Canis lupus familiaris: one gene and its partners. The protein of the gene in region 1 interacts with the protein of each later gene in a pairwise test. Links are inferred from orthologs where the notes say so. Each region holds a gene or a part of one and is shown on either strand. Other genes may lie near its edges.

The links. The genes of interacting proteins can lie anywhere in the genome.
Region 2: the proteins of DDI1 (region 1) and CYGB interact in binary tests that used the Homo sapiens proteins (3 or more experiments, as listed by UniProt). The two-hybrid records come from large-scale screens. The link is inferred for Canis lupus familiaris from reciprocal best matches to the Homo sapiens genes DDI1 and CYGB.
Region 3: the proteins of DDI1 (region 1) and KLHL42 interact in binary tests that used the Homo sapiens proteins (3 or more experiments, as listed by UniProt). The two-hybrid records come from large-scale screens. The link is inferred for Canis lupus familiaris from reciprocal best matches to the Homo sapiens genes DDI1 and KLHL42.

What each region holds. Positions count from the first base shown.
Region 1 is NC_049226.1:28,115,841-28,121,968, reverse strand, and holds DDI1 (protein DDI1 homolog 1), read left to right. Parts: upstream 1-2,735; 5' UTR 2,736-2,929; coding exon 2,930-4,132; 3' UTR 4,133-4,240; downstream 4,241-6,128. UniProt on the Homo sapiens protein: Probable aspartic protease. Seems to act as a proteasomal shuttle which links the proteasome and replication fork proteins like RTF2. Required, with DDI2, for cellular survival following replication stress.
Region 2 is NC_049230.1:5,094,460-5,100,475, forward strand, and holds part of CYGB (cytoglobin), read left to right. Parts: intron 1-4,527; coding exon 4,528-4,759; intron 4,760-5,051; coding exon 5,052-5,215; intron 5,216-6,016. UniProt on the Homo sapiens protein: Probable multifunctional globin with a hexacoordinated heme iron required for the catalysis of various reactions depending on redox condition of the cell as well as oxygen availability.
Region 3 is NC_049248.1:26,606,397-26,612,752, reverse strand, and holds part of KLHL42 (kelch-like protein 42), read right to left. Parts: intron 3,234-6,356; coding exon 2,782-3,233; 3' UTR 1-2,781. UniProt on the Homo sapiens protein: Substrate-specific adapter of a BCR (BTB-CUL3-RBX1) E3 ubiquitin-protein ligase complex required for mitotic progression and cytokinesis. The BCR(KLHL42) E3 ubiquitin ligase complex mediates the ubiquitination and subsequent degradation of KATNA1.

The DNA.
Region 1 (6,128 bases):
AAAAGGATAAAATAGTACATAAATGCACATAAATGCAAAATGCCAACAAAAGAATTACAGCAAGCTAATAAAACATACTGCACAAAGCTTAATTATGTTCAGTATCAAAGCAATGGTAATACGAAAAAAAAAGAGATGTTCGTTTCTTTTGATGTGAACCCCGGATTTTCACTTTGCCAAAAAAATAGGAAAAGCCTATTCTACAAAAAACAAACCCCCAGAATTATGTCCCTAACTTATTAAAATTTAAAAAACAAACTGTTGAAAGCTGGTTGGTGGGAAGTAAAACAGGACATGGAACCTGAGCCTTGCTGGCTTCTGGCAGAATTGTTTGTCCATGGCGGGTGTCACCCCACGAGCTCAGCACGACCACAGCTGATCTCTGAGGAACCTACCGAGACGCGAAGAAAGAACTACACAAGAAATTTATTAACTTAATATTGGGAGTCAAAGGGCCATCCACCTCTACAAATAGTGAAGATTGGCTCTAAATAATTCAGAATTTTCTACAGGAAAATTATAATGCTAGATTATTTCCCCCTGAAAGTTTATAAAATCCTCCTCATCCTGAAGGGCTGCTGCCTTTCTGGTTGAAGGTATGAAGTTGGGGCCATGCACTTCTTGGCCCTGGGTCTCCACTGCATCCAGCCCCCTGTGGTTGACTTCTTGCCATGTCTCTAAACCCAGCATGTTCAGGAAGCGTCCCTGCCTGACTCCCTTTTCACATTCTGCATTTGTTCTCTGGATAGTATTCATTTCTCTCCTGTTGTACTGACCTCTCTGGTATTATGTGTGTATATGTATATATGGAAGTGTGTGTGCATATGCATGTATGTGTGTATGCTTGTGTGTACATGTATGTCTATATGGGTGCATGCATAAGCACATATCTTATGCCTATCTATGTATGTGGGTGCATGTGTGTATGTATGTGTATATGCATGTGCGTGTGTATATGTGTGCATGTACATAAGTATACCCATCTATGTGTGCATGCATATGCACGTGTGTACGCCTGTGTATGTGTATACATGTTTTGTATCTGTATGTATGTATGTGTATGTGTCTGCATGTGCACATGCATGTACATGTGTGTACATGCACACATGTCCATGTATGTGTGCGTGCGTGCATGCATGCATGTGTATTTGCGTGCACATGTGCATTTGTGTTTACATGTGTGTGTGTGCATGCATACGCATATGTGTGCATGCATCCTCTTTTAGACTGGCTCCTCTACGAGCATAGCTTACACTTAACATTATTCATGCATGCCTCCCCAGAACTTAGCATATGCTTCACACACGCTAGGCATTTAGTCAACATTTCCAATATAAATGAATATGAGTATGGAAATATAATGATAATTAGAGCAATGAATAAGATATAGTCCTTTATCTGAGACAAACACATGAGAAATGGAAACTAAAACAGTTCTTTAAGTTGATGTAACCTCTAATGGTGCAGGTCTCCTGACAAACCTTGAAATAAAGAGGGAGGTGGGGCAAGGCAGAAGATGTTAACTATCTTTTGGTTTGTAAATAAACACACCTGGGGAGACCACACCCTGGAAGCAGGAGCTCCTCACACACACTGTGAGATACAGAGAAAAGGAAGTGGCACTCAAGGATTGTACCCAGCCACCATCTGCCCAGAAGGACCTCTCTATCAATGTTCTTAATGTCTCCACTCTGCTGTGTGTGGGAGGGTCCTGTGCCCTACGTCAGAGAGGGAGCCATTCACGGCCCTGAGATGGGCATTCATGATCCATTTTACTCCAAAACCAACATCAAACTGGTCTCCTCAAAGGTTCATCTCACACATCCATTGAAGGTAGGGTGATGGTGATGACCCTCTATGTCATCCACACATTCTGTTCTTTCATGCAGCCCACATCCAATGTCTCAAGACGTCCCATCCATTCTACTCAATGATCTCTCTTATTCCCCACTGCATTCGCTTTGGTCGTCCTTATATTTTCATCTTCTAGCAACAGTGCCCTCTCTAAACCAACAAGAAGGCATCTACCTGGCCCTCCCGCCACCATGTGTCCTTCATAGGTCATGAGAAACCTCTTCCTTAAATCAATTAAATAGAAAAAAATCATAAACACTTCCTTCAAATCTTTCCCATTTCCTTTCTTTTTTTTTCTCTTTTCTTTCCCTCCTTTTTTTATGTTTTTGGATGGAGGATTCTTGTGTATTAATACTATCTACATTCCTTGGATTCACGTATAACTCTAAAAACTGGTTCTAATTGTTTTCTTTCCAGCTTCACATCAAGCCATCCAAAATCATGTACAAATTTCTCCTATGACATTGGACGTCCTCCATTTTCCTAGAAAACAACAGGCCTTATTGTGAATTCTGGCTTCTGTTAAGTGTTGTCTGGGGTGTCTCACTTACCTCCTGTATTATGATTCCCTCATTTATCATCAATCCCCCCTCCAGAGAATGTGAGGTCATCACAGTAGGGCACCAAGTCTGACCCGTCTCTCATCCCAAGCACATAGCGTGATGCTCGCCATGCAGGGACCAAGCACCCCTGTCTGGGTCTAAGGAGAAGCATGTAGAATACCACTCTCAAGTGACCAAGATGAAATGTTGTTTAGGAAGAGCTGAGATAATCTTCCAAATCGTGGGTGAGGCAGGGTGGGAAGGGCTGGCCCGGGAACCAGTGGGCGGAGCCGGGCACCTCTGTGGGAACAGGCATTCCAAGTTCCAAGCAGTGCCATACAAATGAGCCCTGGAACACCCGGGCCTCCTCAGGGTTCCGAGCCGCCAAGCAGCCGGCACTGCACTGGTGAGCAGCTGGGCCTCGTGCAGGAGTGAACAGAACGAAGCCCAGACACCACCGACGAGACCTAGCTCCAGGGAGCCAGAGGACACCCCGATGCCCTGTGCCCGTCTGGCCTGCCTGGGCCAATGTCATGCTGATCACCGTGTACTGTGTGCGGAGGGACCTGTCCGAGGCGACCTTCTCCCTCCAGGTCAACCCTGACTTCGAACTGCACAACTTCCGCCTCCTTTGTGAGCTCGAGTCTGGCATCCCTGTGGACGAGATCCAGATCATCTTCATGGAGCGGCTCCTCACCGACGACCGCTGCTCCCTGGGCTCCTACGGCCTCAGAGACGGTGACGTGGTGGTGCTGCTGCAGAGGGAGAGCGCGGGGCCGCGGCCGCACGGACGAACATCCAGCCTGCTGCAGGTAGATTTCACCAGTTTAGCCGTGCCGGGCACGTCCAGCTCCCGCCAGCAGCAGCAGCAGCAGCAGCGGGCCCCGTCAGCGCAGCAGTCCCACGGCCTGGACTCCGGAGAGAAGATGACACCCACACAGGGCCTGGACAGCCCCGCGTTGATCCGGAGCATGCTACTGTCCAACCCCCACGACCTGTCACTGCTCAAGGAGCGCAACCCGCCCCTGGCCGAAGCCCTGCTCAGCGGGAACCTTGACACATTTTCTCATGTCCTCATGGAGCAGCAGAGAGAAAGGGCCCTGAGAGAGCAGGAGCGGCTGCGCCTCTACACTGCCGACCCATTCGACTTGGAAGCTCAGGCCAAAATAGAAGAAGAAATCCGGCAGCAGAACATCGAGGAAAATATGAACATAGCGATGGAGGAGGCTCCAGAGAGTTTCGGACAAGTGGCCATGCTCTATATCAACTGCAAAGTGAATGGACATCCTCTGAAGGCCTTCGTGGACTCTGGAGCCCAGATGACTATCATGAGCCAAGCCTGTGCCGAGAGATGTAATATAATACGGCTGGTGGACCGCCGGTGGGCTGGCATTGCCAAAGGGGTGGGCACGCAGAGGATTATTGGCCGAGTCCATCTAGCTCAGATTCAGATTGAAGGTGATTTCCTACAGTGCTCTTTCTCCATCCTGGAGGAGCAGCCCATGGACATGCTTCTGGGGCTGGATATGCTCAGGAGACACCAGTGTTCCATCGACTTGAAGAAGAATGTGCTGGTGATCGGCACCACTGGTACACAGACTCCCTTTCTTCCCGAGGGAGAGTTACCCCTGTGTGCCAAGCTGGTAAGTAGTGCTGGGCAACAAGAATCTCCAGACAAAGAAGGAGCAGATACTATTAAGCATTCAGTCATGGATTTAGGATGGAGAAAACATTGAAATGGATTATGAGTACGCCACCATCTTGAGGGAGCCTTAGGTCCTGGAAGATTCTAAGACATGAGCTCACTGGCAGTGTAATCATTAAAAACATCAGTAACAACCAAACCTGGCTTTGGGACTACCTTCTGAGATCCATCACTGTGTAAATTGTGATTGTTTGATCGTGGGCCCGCCTTCATTTCCCTTATACAAAGATCACTGAACCTCATCCCAGGAAGGCTCTGGAGGCTCCAAGTAATTTCCAGATAATCCATGAAATGAAACCAGTCTCTTCCTTTAGAGACACTGTCCCATCAGATTACAGGGTGCCTTGTCCAAAGCAGATGCTATTTTGCAGATGCTCTAGAAAAAGCCATCACTACAGACCCTATAAAACATCTATACAATGATTTCAAATCAGCACTCACAATTATTTATACTAAGAGAAATTTTTCCCAGATTTTGTTTTCTTTGGGAAAGTTCTTAGAAATGGTGAGTCAGTTATGCTCAAGTTGATTAATACATACAAATGTCTGTTTTGGACACTTATAAAGGCCAGTTTCTTTATATTTTATGTCTTCCCTTTCATTGGACTCCCGTGGACTCATGCTCACTGCAATATGTCCCTACAGGCAATTTTTGCCACATTTGAGAAAATGGATTTTTCTCCAATGAAGTCTAAAATAATGTCCTTTTTCCCCTGCATCAAAGAAACCCTGGTGATAAAACAAAAGCCAGCAAGTAGACTTTTTTTCTTTCTTTCTTTCTAACTATGGTGCATCTTGGAAGCCTAATAGTTGTAACTGTGGGGCCAGTGGGCGGTAGGATCAGGCAGTGGTCCAGATCCCCTAATATTCATTTCAACTAAATCAGCTTTTTTTAAAGTCTGCTTTATATATTAAGCTGCTACAGAAATATTGTTTGAACAAAGGGTTTCAGTGTTAAAGTAACATTTGAAAACCTCCGAAGGAGATGTCTGAGTCCTCATTTAGTTCTATGATACATGCAAATAAAGCTGCTGTGCATGACTACTGAAAGATCCTGGACCCATTATGATTCATGGCTGACACACCTGACACAATAGATTCAGCTGCCTGAGACCACCAGACTAAGGGGAAATGTTTCAGGGCTGATATTAGAAAGAATGATGGATTCAAAGTCAAGAAATACATGTTCTGATTCCAGCTCTGTATTGGGCATTTCCATTTTATACAACTCAGATTTCTTGTCTATAAATTACTCTGGAGGGGAGAGCCATTTCCAGGTACTGAGACTACATCATGATCTAGGGCATCCTTTAAAAGTTATTCTCTTTTCCAACAAAATCTAAAGCCATTCAAAGCATTTTTTAAAGACTACAGAAAAAAAAAAATCCTTCCCTGCCATCAGCATATGCCTTTCTGGGTCTGCTTCTTGGTGAAAGTAACCATCTTATTTCTGTAGAGTCACCTCTGCCCCTCCAGGTGCTGTTACTTCCCCTCACATGTTCTTTATAGGTATTGCCATGCTCACAAGCCCCAACCTTGTTACAAGGCTTATACCCACTAAACCACTAAAAATGAGCATAAGCAATTCAATGCCTGTTACTAGATGAAAACTGACCCAATAAATACAAGGATTCCTTCACAGATAAAAATATGCCTGTTCCTCAGCAGTTTCCCCCAGACTCTGTTTCCAGGTACATTTATGTAAAACACATGTCTGACATGTGTACATCATATGGAAATGCTCAGTGTAAGAGTTTGACATATAGCCTATGGAGTTATCTAACCCATAAAAGCCAATCTAAAAATCATCAGATCTTTAATCTAAAAGAGGTTTGCATTGTATCAAATCTGAACATACCCATCTTCCCTTCTCAGAGGGACAGCCCTTCTAAAGTAGCTACGATGGTTCAGGACCAGTCTCAAGAATAATTCTTTTTTTCTCATTTGGAGCTGAACTCTATTATTTCATAACTTCCAATAAATTTGTCTTCACTATTCCTTCTTCCAGAACATATTTAATTAATGTA
Region 2 (6,016 bases), on another chromosome or scaffold:
CACGCGGGTCCCTGGGGCCCCAGACCTGCACTCACCCCCAACCCCCTGTCAGCGGCAGCAGCCGGATCTCAGACCACCGAGCAGGGCAGCCTGCTTATCTGGAGATGGGGTGAAGCCTCTTGCTTGTGGAAAGGAGAGTTGAAATGCATGCCTGCCTCCCAGTCCCAAGCCCCGGCTCTGGCTTCTGTCTCCCTGACTCTCTCTCCCTTCTGCCTCCCCCAAGCCTGGGACCTACCCGGCTCCGTAGCGATATGCCCTGATTCCAACTTGGAAACAGATTTTGGAGGAAAAAGAGCAAGAAGCACTCGTGAGTTTGAGGAGGATTCCTGAGGAAGGCTGCTATTTGGGCAGCCCCAAGACCCAGAAACATGGGGGTGGGGTGGGGAGGCTCCGAGGGGGTTTCAGATGCCGAAGCCATCAGACATTCTGAGACACAGACCCGCACGTGGGAGCACCCACACAAGCACACGGTAGGTAGTGGCGTTACAGATGCGCCAGACACAGCCCTGGGGGGGGGGGGGGTGGCTCTCAGCCATGCGTGCTGTGTGTCCGCGCCCCAGAGCCCACCAGGCCTCAGGATGCACCGGGTGAGCACATGGGTCACCAAAAGGAAAGGAGGCGGAGTCCACAGGGCCTTGGAGATTTTGTCTGGACACACTCTGCCATTTGCCAGGGAGCGTGAGGAGGTGATGTGTCCAAGATCCAGCCCTGGGGTACCACCCAACCTCCCCCAGGAGTGGGGGGTGCAGAGGAAAGACCTGAACACTATGGCCAGGGCTGTTTCTGGAGAGTCTGACATCTTGACAAGGTCTTTCCCTATATATGCCCCTGCTTGCACGGTTCCCCATTCCTGACTCTTAGGGAGGCTCAGTTTGGGCGGGTGGGGGTGGTGGCATCTACCCCTGTGCTCTGTGCTCAGTGAGAGGCCCACAATTAATCCAGAAGGCCTGAGACAGCAGTGAGGTCCAGCCGGCTGGTCAGCCCGGGCCACATTCCACCAGACCCACCTCTGTGTTGGTCGGAGCCCAGCGCTGGCCCAGCTCCTCCCTGCCAGACCCGAGCCCCACCAGCCTGCTCCCTCTGGGTCTCCTCCTGCTCTCTGCCCCCCGACCTGCCAGGTGGGGGAGAAGGTTGGTTAAAGGGGCTAGAGGGGAAGATTGATAAACCTCTCTGGTGTCCCAAAGGCCCCTCCCCAGATCCTGTGCCCCCCAACTTTTATCACTCACACCTCCCCAACTTCACACACATCCACAAGGACAGGCGCCAGTGAGAGCCTGAGACACTGAGTCCTCTGGCCCATCACTCTCAGGTCCTCCCTCCCTGCTGGGCTAAGGCCAGCTGCACCCCCACACCCTACCCCCCACCCCAGCCCCAGGAGTCCACAGCCAGGAAGGGGGTGGCAGTGCTGGTGGTGGTGGAAAAGCTGTCTTGGGGTCGGAACCAGACCCCATACCTGCACTCCAGTGGAGAGGGAACACCCATGCTCTAGGAAGACTCCCCTCCCGGTTGTAACTCTGCCACCTTCCCCCCTCACACTCAAGACAAGCCTATTTCAGGCTCTGTTGGAAGCCCAGATGCCTCTGGGAGCTGAGAAACTCCCCAAGGCTGGCTGCTGAGGCTTCTCCCCTGCAGGCAGCGCAGCACAGCACAGGCCCGGACCTGGAGGGTCGGGAGTGCTGGGGCTGGGGACAGAAGCCAGGAAGAGGGAGCAGAGCACGTGGCCCCCAGACTCCCCTGGTGCAGCAGAGGGGCTCCCTGGGACTGTCATTCCTCAGGGCCATAATGGCCCTGGGTGTCAAGGCAGGAGACTCGTTGGGCCCCAGGCCCCCATCTCCCTGGCACAGCAGTTTCTCCGAGGCAGGATTCGGAAGCCATCAAGGCAGGAGATGTCTGTCTGTCTTCCTGGCCCTGCCACCCACTTTGCTGGGCAACCCTGGGCATAGATTCCTAAAACAGAACGCGGAGATAAAAACAGTGCCAATCTCAGGAGGCTAGTGCAGGATTAATGACACAATCTAGTAAGTGCTCAGTAAGTCTTCCTTGTTAGCTCCTCATCAGTAAAATGGATATAACAATGCTTGCTTGGTTGTGGCAATTATTTTTTTTTTAAGATTTTATTTATTTATTCATGAAAGACACAGAGAGAGAAGCAGAGACACAGGCAGAGGGAGAAGCAGGCTCCACGCAGGGAGCCCGATGTGGCACTCGATCCTCGATCCCGGATCCCGGGATCATGCCCCGAGACAAAGGCAGACGCTCAACTGCTGAGCCACCCAGGCATCCCCGGTTGTGGCAATTAAGTGAAATAACAGGTGGAGATGTTTTGCACATTGGAACGCACCAGGCAAACAGCGATCATTATTTTTATTGCAATGTGAAGTGCCCAAAGTCTAAGGTAATACTCATTTAAGCCCAAATTGGGTTCTTTACATTTGTCCTTCATATCATGCGTCTCCAGAAAAATCCAACGTATTTTCAGACTCATTGCCTCATTTGTCCTCACTAGTGTATCTGTGAACTATCGAGTGGGAGGAACTCCTCTCACACTTTTGCAGACGGGAGGTTGTGAAGTGGTTTGCCCAAGGTCACCCTTGGTCTCCACATGGACTGCGTCCTCGCCACTCCCCCGCCTGCAGCAGCTTTGTCGCCTGACGGGATGGACTGGGCCAGAAGCTCTCTCTGCATCTGTTCCAGCTCTCTGGCCAAAGGGCTGATTTGGCAAATTATCAGTTTTCTCTGATCGCAAATGAGGATACTCCAGAGGTGTGAGAGAACCCAACAAAACAGGCCCAAGACATTCCGTATGTTTTCTGAAGTTCTGATCGGGTGTGTGTGAGTGTGTACCTGCACCTCCTGCAACACCCAGCTCTGCCAGGGAGAGAGAACGCAAAGGGCATTGGTGTCATCTTGCGGACCCAGGGCCCTGGGCTGAGGGGATGGGTCACAGCAGGTGTGAGACCCAGGCCCTGCCCTTGGGTTGTGGGACCCAGTCCAACAGGCAGGAAGGGAAGAAGCGGTAAAGGGTGGCGGGGAACCCCTAATGGCCTTAAAGGGACAGCCTGGGCACCGTGGGGTAGGAGGGCCAAGTCCAACGCAAGAAAGAGTGGGAAGGAAGGCTGGCCTGCCCGAGGAGTGTTTTACCAGCAGTGAGTGGGCTGGAGGAAGGTGGCTGAGTTGGGACAGTTTGTAGGAAGCCTGAGATCCCAGGTTAAGGATTTTGACTTTGTCCAGTAGATATTGGGGTGCCACTGAATGTGAGCATGAAAGTAACCTAATGAAAGTGACATTTGGGGGGAATTAGGCAATTTCAGGTAAAGTGGAGAGGGAAGGAGAGCACTAAAAAGACCTGGGGTCTGCCCCAGGACGTGCACGGGCTTCTTGGAGAAGCGAGATGTACAGATGTGAAGTAATGACGGACTCACACCAGGAGGGTAAGACCAGTCCGGAGCTGTAATTAAATCAGCCAATCAATAAGCGCAGCAGGCGGAGGAGGGAAGCAGGTAGGGAGGAGGGAACAGACAGAGCTGGCGGGAGAACTGTCCCGTGTTTCTTCCCTCCGTGACTGGGTGACCTGAGCCAAGTCACTCGGGCTTTACTTTTTGCAAAGAGAGCTCTACCTTGATCACGACCCACTGGCATTGACCGAGCACCCGGTGTTCACACTGTGCTGAGGACTCCACACGCGGTTTCCCAGTTCATCCTCATGGCAAGCTAGGAACAACCATGCCCGTTGCATGGACGAGGACACGGAGACTCAGAGAAGTGCCATCACTTATCCGAGGTCACGCTGGCCCCGGGGCCCAGAACTAGAGCTCTGGCCCTCTCTGCTGTGCCTGGAGCAGGCCTTGAGGGTGGGTGGGGCTGGGAAAGGAGGCCACAGCAAGAAAGACAGGAGCCTGGGAGACAGGGCTGACAGTCTGTGCAAGTTTGGCCCACAGATATGGCCAGGACCCGGGTCGGGGCGGCATGTCACCAGCTCGGCCAGAGGGAGGGTCTGTGTCTGGGGGCCCGCTACACACGGTGGTGAAAGAGTTACTGGTCCTGCCCCTCCTACCCCGCACCCCCACTACCCTGGCACCTTGGGGTGGACTCCCTGGTCACCCCAGCCACCTCGGGTGGGTCCCCCGTCACCTCGACCACCCAGCCGTCTTGAGGTGGGCTCCCCCTGTCACCCCAGCCACCTTGGGGTGGGCTCCCCACATCACCCCAGCCACCTCGGGGTGGGCTCCCTCCATCACCCTGGCCACCTTAGGGTGGGCTCTCCACATCACCCTGGCCTCCTTGGGGTGGGCTCCTCCCATCACCGGGCCACCTCGGTGTGGGCTCCCCCCATTACCCCAGCCACCTCAGGGTGGGCTCCCCCCGTCACCCTGGCCTTCTTGAGGTGGACTCCCCCATCACCCCAGCCACCTTGGGGTGGCTCCCCACATCACCCTGGCCACCTTGGGGCGGCTCCCCATGTCACCCTGGCCACCTCACGGTGGGGCCCAGGCAGTCCTGACTTGAGCACTCCCGCCCTCCCGCCAGGTTCTTTGTGAACTTTCCATCGGCCAAGCAGTACTTCAGCCAGTTCAAGCACATGACAGAGCCCCTGGAGATGGAGCGGAGCCCCCAGCTGCGGAAACACGCCTGCCGGGTCATGGGGGCCCTCAACACTGTCGTGGAGAACCTACACGACCCGGAGAAGGTGTCCTCCGTGCTCGCCCTTGTGGGCAAAGCCCACGCCCTCAAGCACAAGGTGGAGCCTGTGTACTTCAAGGTAGGTGGCTGTGGCCAATCCTCCGCCCACCCTGCTCTGGGAGCACCACTGGGGAACAGAGGGGACCACTGGGCAGCCCAGCCTCTCCCCCCTCAACCTCCACATGGTTGTGACAGGGAGGGGGCTGCAGGATCAGGTGGGGGCTGGGTCTCAAAGTTGCCAGGCTGTCCTGTTGTGAATGATCCCCCTGGCCAAAACCTGTCTAGAAGGGGTGCTGGGGGCCTTGGGGGCTTCGGGGGTGAGGAGGCAGGGCAACCAGGCGTTTACTTCTCCCTCCTCCCTTTGCCCCCAGATCCTCTCTGGGGTGATTCTGGAGGTGATCGCCGAGGAATTTGCCAATGACTTCCCACCTGAGACGCAGAGAGCCTGGGCCAAGCTGCGTAGCCTCATCTACAGCCATGTGACCGCTGCCTACAAAGAAGTGGGCTGGGTACAGCAGGTCCCCAACACCACCACGTGAGGAGGGGTGAGGGTGGGCCGGACAGCCTCCCCGCCGTCCTCCCCTGCCCCCCCCCCCCCCCCCCCCCCGGTCTCCCATCTCTCCTGGGGCACAGGAGCTGACTGCTGGGGCAGGAACTCTTCGGGAGGCTAGGTCTGGGGTCTGACGCTTAAGAAGAGGCATGATGGGAAAGGGCCGGGCCCCTACTAGATAGAGGCTGCTCCGAGCCATGAGCCCCAAACAGATTCTCCTGGGGTAGAGCCATCCCCTTCCCTAGAACACAAGAGCACTCAGAGCGGCCCAAGACCACGGCCGCCCAGGGCAGAGAGGCCCTACGAGGTTCCTGGCGGGAAGGCTAGCTCATCGGGCCCAGAGGCAGGCCAGGCTAATTCCCCACCACTTCCTCCCCGGTACCAATCACATGGGGCTGTTTGTCAGCTAATGCTGACCAGTGCTCCCTCCTGCCTCTGCCTCAGCAGGGCCGGAGCCAGGAGAATCACGAGGGTGTGTGCACACACGTGCACATGCCCAAGCGCACAAGGGGCCTGCGTGGGTGTCGCTACCCCGCACACACCTTCAGGGGTGTTTACTTCCAGGTTGACCCTAGAGGCCAGGTTCCCAGTTCTGGGGTGAGGGCCACGGAGATGGGCTCGAGGAGGGTGGCCAGCCTCAGGGACTCCAGCGGACTCGGAGCTCAAGGGGAGGGCTGGCCCCCAGACATGGTGGCTGGGAACACTCCGGCCTGCCCAGGCCCCCAAGGGGCAGGCAGCTCTGGGAGCTCAATGGAGGGGCGGAGGCAGGGCTGGAGTAGGAAGGAG
Region 3 (6,356 bases), on another chromosome or scaffold:
CCAGGAAAAATGACAGGAAGAACCAACTTCCCTCTACCAATCCACACTCAGGATTCACTCTGCCACTCAGACTATTCTTAGTAAAATAGGTTGCTTCTGGCAGGATGGCTCCCACTATCAGGGGTCCTCCACTAACTCCCCTCTCTGCAGTGGGAGGTTAGTACCCCTCAGAAGTATTTCAGAAAAGAAGGATGAAACATTTGGAGGAAGGAAGAAAATGGAAGGATATCATCAAAGAGCACTACATTGTATACCTAAAACTAATATAACACTGTATATTAACTATACCGGAATAAAAATAAAAATTAAAAAAAAAGGCAAAGTCCTGGGGGATGACGGGATTTTCAATGCAACATTCCCTCATCATAGGTAGAGTCTTTAATACAACACTGGCACCAATACGAGAACAGAGCTAAATTAAAATTATCCTCAAAATGCCAATGTAGCTCATGTGCACGGCAGGAAAAAGGGTGACCCAAATCCACAGATCTGTTCCTACTGCACATTGTGCCTTGCCCAAGTACCACTGGCAGTCCAGAGTAACAAAACTTTGTTAAAAGTCTGTGTATCTTAGAGCTATAATATGCCACGACACGTGCGTGCACACACACATACACACACAGATAATATGCACATATACACACACATCAAACCTGGTTTATAAAAAGAACTTTGTGGATCAGAGTATTCCTTCACTTGGTCCAAGAATCTAATTGTTGGCATTAGGAAAACACATCCAAAGAATGTAATCAGGAAGAGAACTGGTTGGCAGCAATATTACATTTTATATGATGTGGTTATTTACAAGCTAAGGTCAAATTGTCCAGAACTAATTCAACTGGCTAGAATCTTCTGGATATACAAGGTTAAGCTTTAAAAAAATTAAAATTTGTAGCAACAAAAGTCAACACTATCTAAAATAAATTAGATTTTTAAATATATGCAATGAAATTATAGGTCACTGGAAATTCAATTACATAATGAATATAAATTAATATAAATCTATTATTAGAGTACCATCCCCAAGATGATTTCAGTTCCGAGTTTTAAAAAAAAAGGCTAAGTATTTGAGAATAAATGGATATGGCTTAGAAACCCTTAAGTAGTGTAAGTAGAGTACTGGTATGATTATTTGGTAACAAGATCAAAGAGCTGTCTCCAAGTCCACAACAAAGGCTTGCCTCATTTTACTTAATAGTCCTGAAAAGTTGTGCAAATAGGATTTTTATAACCAGATCCTGATTTTAACTCCACTAGCTGGCCATGGTTGTTAAAGAAACCCTGCAGTGACTCTTCTGATGACCTGAAGAGCTCTGCTGAAGTGATCAACCCCTCTGCACCACATCTGCATGGCGAATACACGCCGGAAGCAGCGGGTAAGTGCGGAATGCATGGATTTGCCATGATTTTTTTTTCCTGCGGGACTTTCTTAAAGTGAGACATGCTGTAACTGGAACGTTAGAACAGAAAGATGGACTCCAGCTCACGGCTTCACTGATTCCATCACAAAAGATCAGAGAAGTTCAGAAAGAATAAGATTTCTCTAAGTATACATTTTCAAAGGGATGGACCTATGACTGGCAGCAGCTTTTATTCGTGTTAGGTGACTTACTGAAAACAACTGCTGGAGCTTGGTTCCATTCAACAACCAAGGCAAGAAGGGAACCTACCTAAATCCAGAGAAGCCACCAGAAGCCGTACCATCTCTAAAAGAGCCCCTTCTCTCTCCAGCACAAATGTTCTACAGCTATCCTCACCTTACCTCATAAGAGCAAAGCATGAATTAAAAGGTTAAGATTAAATTAGAGAGATGCCTGATCTAAAGATGACAGTTATCTTTCTTACCCCAAAAAAGAGAACTAAGTCAAATACATTCATTAAAAGTAACTCTTAAAGGCATTTTTTTTTCCTTATTTGGCCTTTCCTTCCCTTCCCATTTAAATTTAAGACTCAATTTCAAAAATATATATATGTATATATATCTCCATCCTTTTAAACAATATATCCTCTCTTTTAAACAATACAGAATGCCTAGCCATGCAACTTATCTAACCACATAAATTTGCAACCTGCTACCTAAATAAAATAAGAGGTTACATCTGCCTATCTATTCAGTACACATAATTGCAAAAAAGTTTGGAAAAATAGCTGAGAAGGTTTTAAGCAAGAGAGGGAGGACTGGATGCTGTAAGAACTATAGGGCTCCATCATTGTAAGCTTCCTAAAAGATAGTGTAAATAAAATATCTAAATACAGAACCCGATTTTTAAACCACTGGAAGGATATGTGGGGAGAAAAGGGGCAAATGACAATGTTAATATAAATATTTGTCAAGTATGTGAAGAACAACAACAAAAATCTCTCACTGAAGGTATTAATGATATTTCAAGTGACCTAAATAAAATGGATTTTAAAATGATCTTTACCATTCACGTCAGTTATTGACTTTGGCCCTTTACTAAAGCAGACACAATGAATCTTCTTTTTGATGATCAGTTTCAGTCACTGGCCCAAGGGTATCATATTTGGATGAAAATATTATCATGGATTTGCTCCCATCATTTAAAAATCAATAATTAAAAAAATAATAAAGTTGGTCTCTTTTCTCCACGTGTTTTCAAGTAATTAGTTCAAGTAAGCTTATTTACAGCTATTGTACATGTGACCTACTTTAACTCATGTTTTCCCTTTAGAAATCGGTCTCCCTTGAAATGGGATACTACATTTTTTTTCCTTTTTCTGTCTTGAACCAGGTTTCTTTTAAATCCTCAGTCAGTTCAGTCATGTTTCTGCTTTATTGGGCAGATAAAGAGAGGAAACCAGCAAGTTGTGTCCAAAGGCTGGGAAACGCCTAAATGCTTCCCAACTATCTGAAAAGATGTTGTATTTGAGGAAAACTCGATGTTCCAAGCTGGTTGACAGGGTAACGTCTCTGCTCATGATGTAGATGCCATCATTGTGAAGTGCGCAAGTCAAGTTAAGACCCGATTTGGATGTGTTCTCCTTGAGGTAGAGCCACTGCCTTGTGACAGTGTTGTAGGACTGCACGGTGAGCATGTCCTCGCTCTGGCTGCTCCTCCGGTTGGGCCCCAGTTCATGCAGACATCCCCCCACGATGTAGATGGTCTCCTCAACAGATACCATCTGCTGCTTGCGAATGTGGACATCGCAGGTTTCAAAGAGCGTCCAGATGTCGGCAGAGGGGCAGTACTGCAAAATGTTCATGTTGCGGTCTGAAATGAAGAAAGAGGTCAAATGATGACACAGACATAAGTAACACCACCGTCTGCCTAAGCTGTAATAAACACCGACCCCCACCTGAATAATTTGGTAACAGAGAGGCAAAACTATTTCAGAGAAGCAGAGGTTGGAACAACAGTTCTCGAAATGACTAGGAGGTGATCTGTTTAGATTCATTCCCATAATCCAATCAGGTGTGTCCCCTCCCTGGGAGGCTCTCAGAATCCAGAGGGCCAGGACATGGCCAGCTGTGATTGGAGCATACCCTCCTCCTCCCTGGTACCCCTACACAGTTTAGAACCACCAAAATCCATGTAAAAAGAATCAGCGCCTGGAACTCTCTTCAACAGCTACAGAATTACTGACTTCTTAATACAGATGATAGGCTGAGCCCGAAGAGGATCTACTTTTGATAGCCAACTATACTAAATAAGACAAGTGAGCCAAGCAAGATCTTCAGGGGCTAGTCTAAAGGAAATCACACAATTGCAGGTCAGGAGAAACCCAAGAAACTATCACCTATGCCCTTCAAGCCATAGAATCACTTGGCAATTCTATTTCTCGGTTGTAACAGGAGAGACATACTAACAAAGGCCCTTCCCTCTTCCTGTGCCCACTTCACAAGAGATGACTAGTTCTTATGTGGGTAAAATCAGAAAGCAGATCAAAGGCTACTCCAAAATCATCTTGCATTCATAGCTGCTTTAAGGAAAAAATATTGTTTACTCTCTTTTTGAAAAAAATGCTTGTGAAATTTAAAGTATCTCTTTTCATTTTTCCCTTATTATTTGTTCTTTTTTTTCTCCTCCTTGCGGAAAAAATAAATGGAATATTTTAGTCTCAGCAGAATAAAAAATGCTCTGAGTTATCAGAAAGAATGAACTTTCTGTTTGTTGTTTTTGTTTAAACAACAAAATTCATCAGTGTAAGAGACAACTCAGCTTGGGAACAGATATGTAACTAAGGCGTACAACACTTCCCCCTGGGGGTGAGACACAGGAGGACCCACTCCCAGTTAGCAATGATGAAAGAGCTCCACCACTACTGCTGACACCAATCGAGTGCCTGGTAAGAGAGCACAGAAAGAACTAGAAGGAGGAACATTTGGGGGGCTCAGTGGTTGAGCATCAGCCTTGGGCTCAGCTCAGTGATCCCAGGGTCCTGGGATCAAGTCCCACATCGGGCTCCCTGCAGGGAGCCTGCTTCTCCTTCTATGTCTCTGCTTCTCTCTGTCTCTCATGAATGAATGAATAAATGAATGAATAAATAAATAAATCTTAAAAAAAAAAAAGAACTAGAAGGAGACTGAACCTTTCGTTTACCACATGTCCCCATGCCTGTAGAAATTTCAGAACTGCTACAGCTTTAGGAAACTGTCCTTTTTTTCCACCCACATTAATACCTCCCTACCTTTCTTTTTATTGTAGCTACTGTGATAAAACTCATTCTGGAGACAGTCCAAGGGAGTTTGGTTCCAATCTATCAAAAAGTGCTCCTTAGTAACCTGGCTTTCCCTCCACATGAATAAAGGACTTATTCTAGTGAGGCTTCCATGGATTTCTCAGTCCCTGGTCTGAAGGTCTTCCCAGGTCTTCTGTAAATGTTTTTTCTCCTCACCCAACAAGGGCTCAGACCATGATGAGGTGGTTTGAGTTGGTGGAATACTCTTTTTGCTTTTACATTTGGAGGTGATTCTGAACTTTAACAAATCACCCTTCTTCCCTGGAGTGGTTACTATTGCTTTCTATTGAATTTTTCATTTCCTCAGTGCCTGCTACAGAATTAATATAATCAAACAGCTATCATAAAAATTGTGAATTACTTACTAAATTTTAAAGTCTACCTAACTTAAGAAGTTAGCAGGCTAATAACCCAACTTTGAGCCCTGCATTTGTTCATAAAACAAAACAATTCTGATTTCTTATTCTAAATACAGGTAACTATTAGGAAGTGCTGAGAAGATCCCAAACAGAAGAGGAGGGGAATTTCAGAGTACAAGGAACTGTCCTGCCCTCTCATCTCAGAAAACCCATTTTCAACCTTTACACAAACATCCATCCATCCACATCACCCAACCATCCCATCACAGGTATTTGGCTTGGGGAACCCGAGACAGGAATCACCGTGGGTGGCCCAAGTGAAGAAGGTATATTAGTAGTGGCTTGAGAAACTAGAAAACACACAAGCAAGGGTTTTCCAGGTCAGATCTAAAGAACATTTGCTCAGCCAGGCCATGGAAGAACTAGGAAATCTACCAGCAGGGTACTCTTTGGGCTACAGTACTGCCTGTCAGTGTTTCCCAGCTCCTGGTCACAAGAGAAGCCAAGGGTTATGTGTGCATTATGTCAGCCCAAAGGGTGCTTTCTGTGTGACAAAATCTAGGGAGCAATCAGAATTCTTAGAAATGTTCAAAAGTAAATAACTGTATTTACTTTCCTAGGAGAAAAAGGCACACAGACACACACAGAGGTACATATGCACTCACAGGAATTCTCTGGGGGCTATGGTTTCGTTAAGCATATGAAGTTGACCGCTGTACCTGAACACCAATATTGAAGGTAAAAGAAATGACTCTTAGGTCTCTCTCTGTCTCTTTATTTATTTTTTCACCCAATTATCTATAACCAAAAAAAGCTGGCAATTATCTTATCTTCAGTAGAATGTCACTAGGGAGGGACATTGAGAATAGCTCCACAGTGATGAAAATCTGAGGGCATTATAAAAAAAAAAAAAAACAACTCCCTGTTTCCCATGGTCACTGCCCCTCCTTAAATGCATAAACACAGCACCTGTAGTGAGTTCAACAGGCCCCCAAAAAGATATGTTTACTCCCTAACCCCAAAACCTTTGAATGTGACCTTACTTGGAAAAAGGGACTTTGTACCTTTCAATGAAGTTTAGGATTTCACGATGAGATCATCCTAGATAACCCAGGGGGGCTATAAAATCCAATGAGGAATGTGTCTTTATAAAAGACAGAAGAGGAAAAGACGTAGATATGCTCAGAGGAGAAGGTGTGTGAAGATGGAGGTAGAGCCTGCAGGGATGCAGCCACCAGCCAAGGAACACCTGGAATCACCAAAGATGGAAGAGGCAGGGAAGGACTCTCCCCTAGC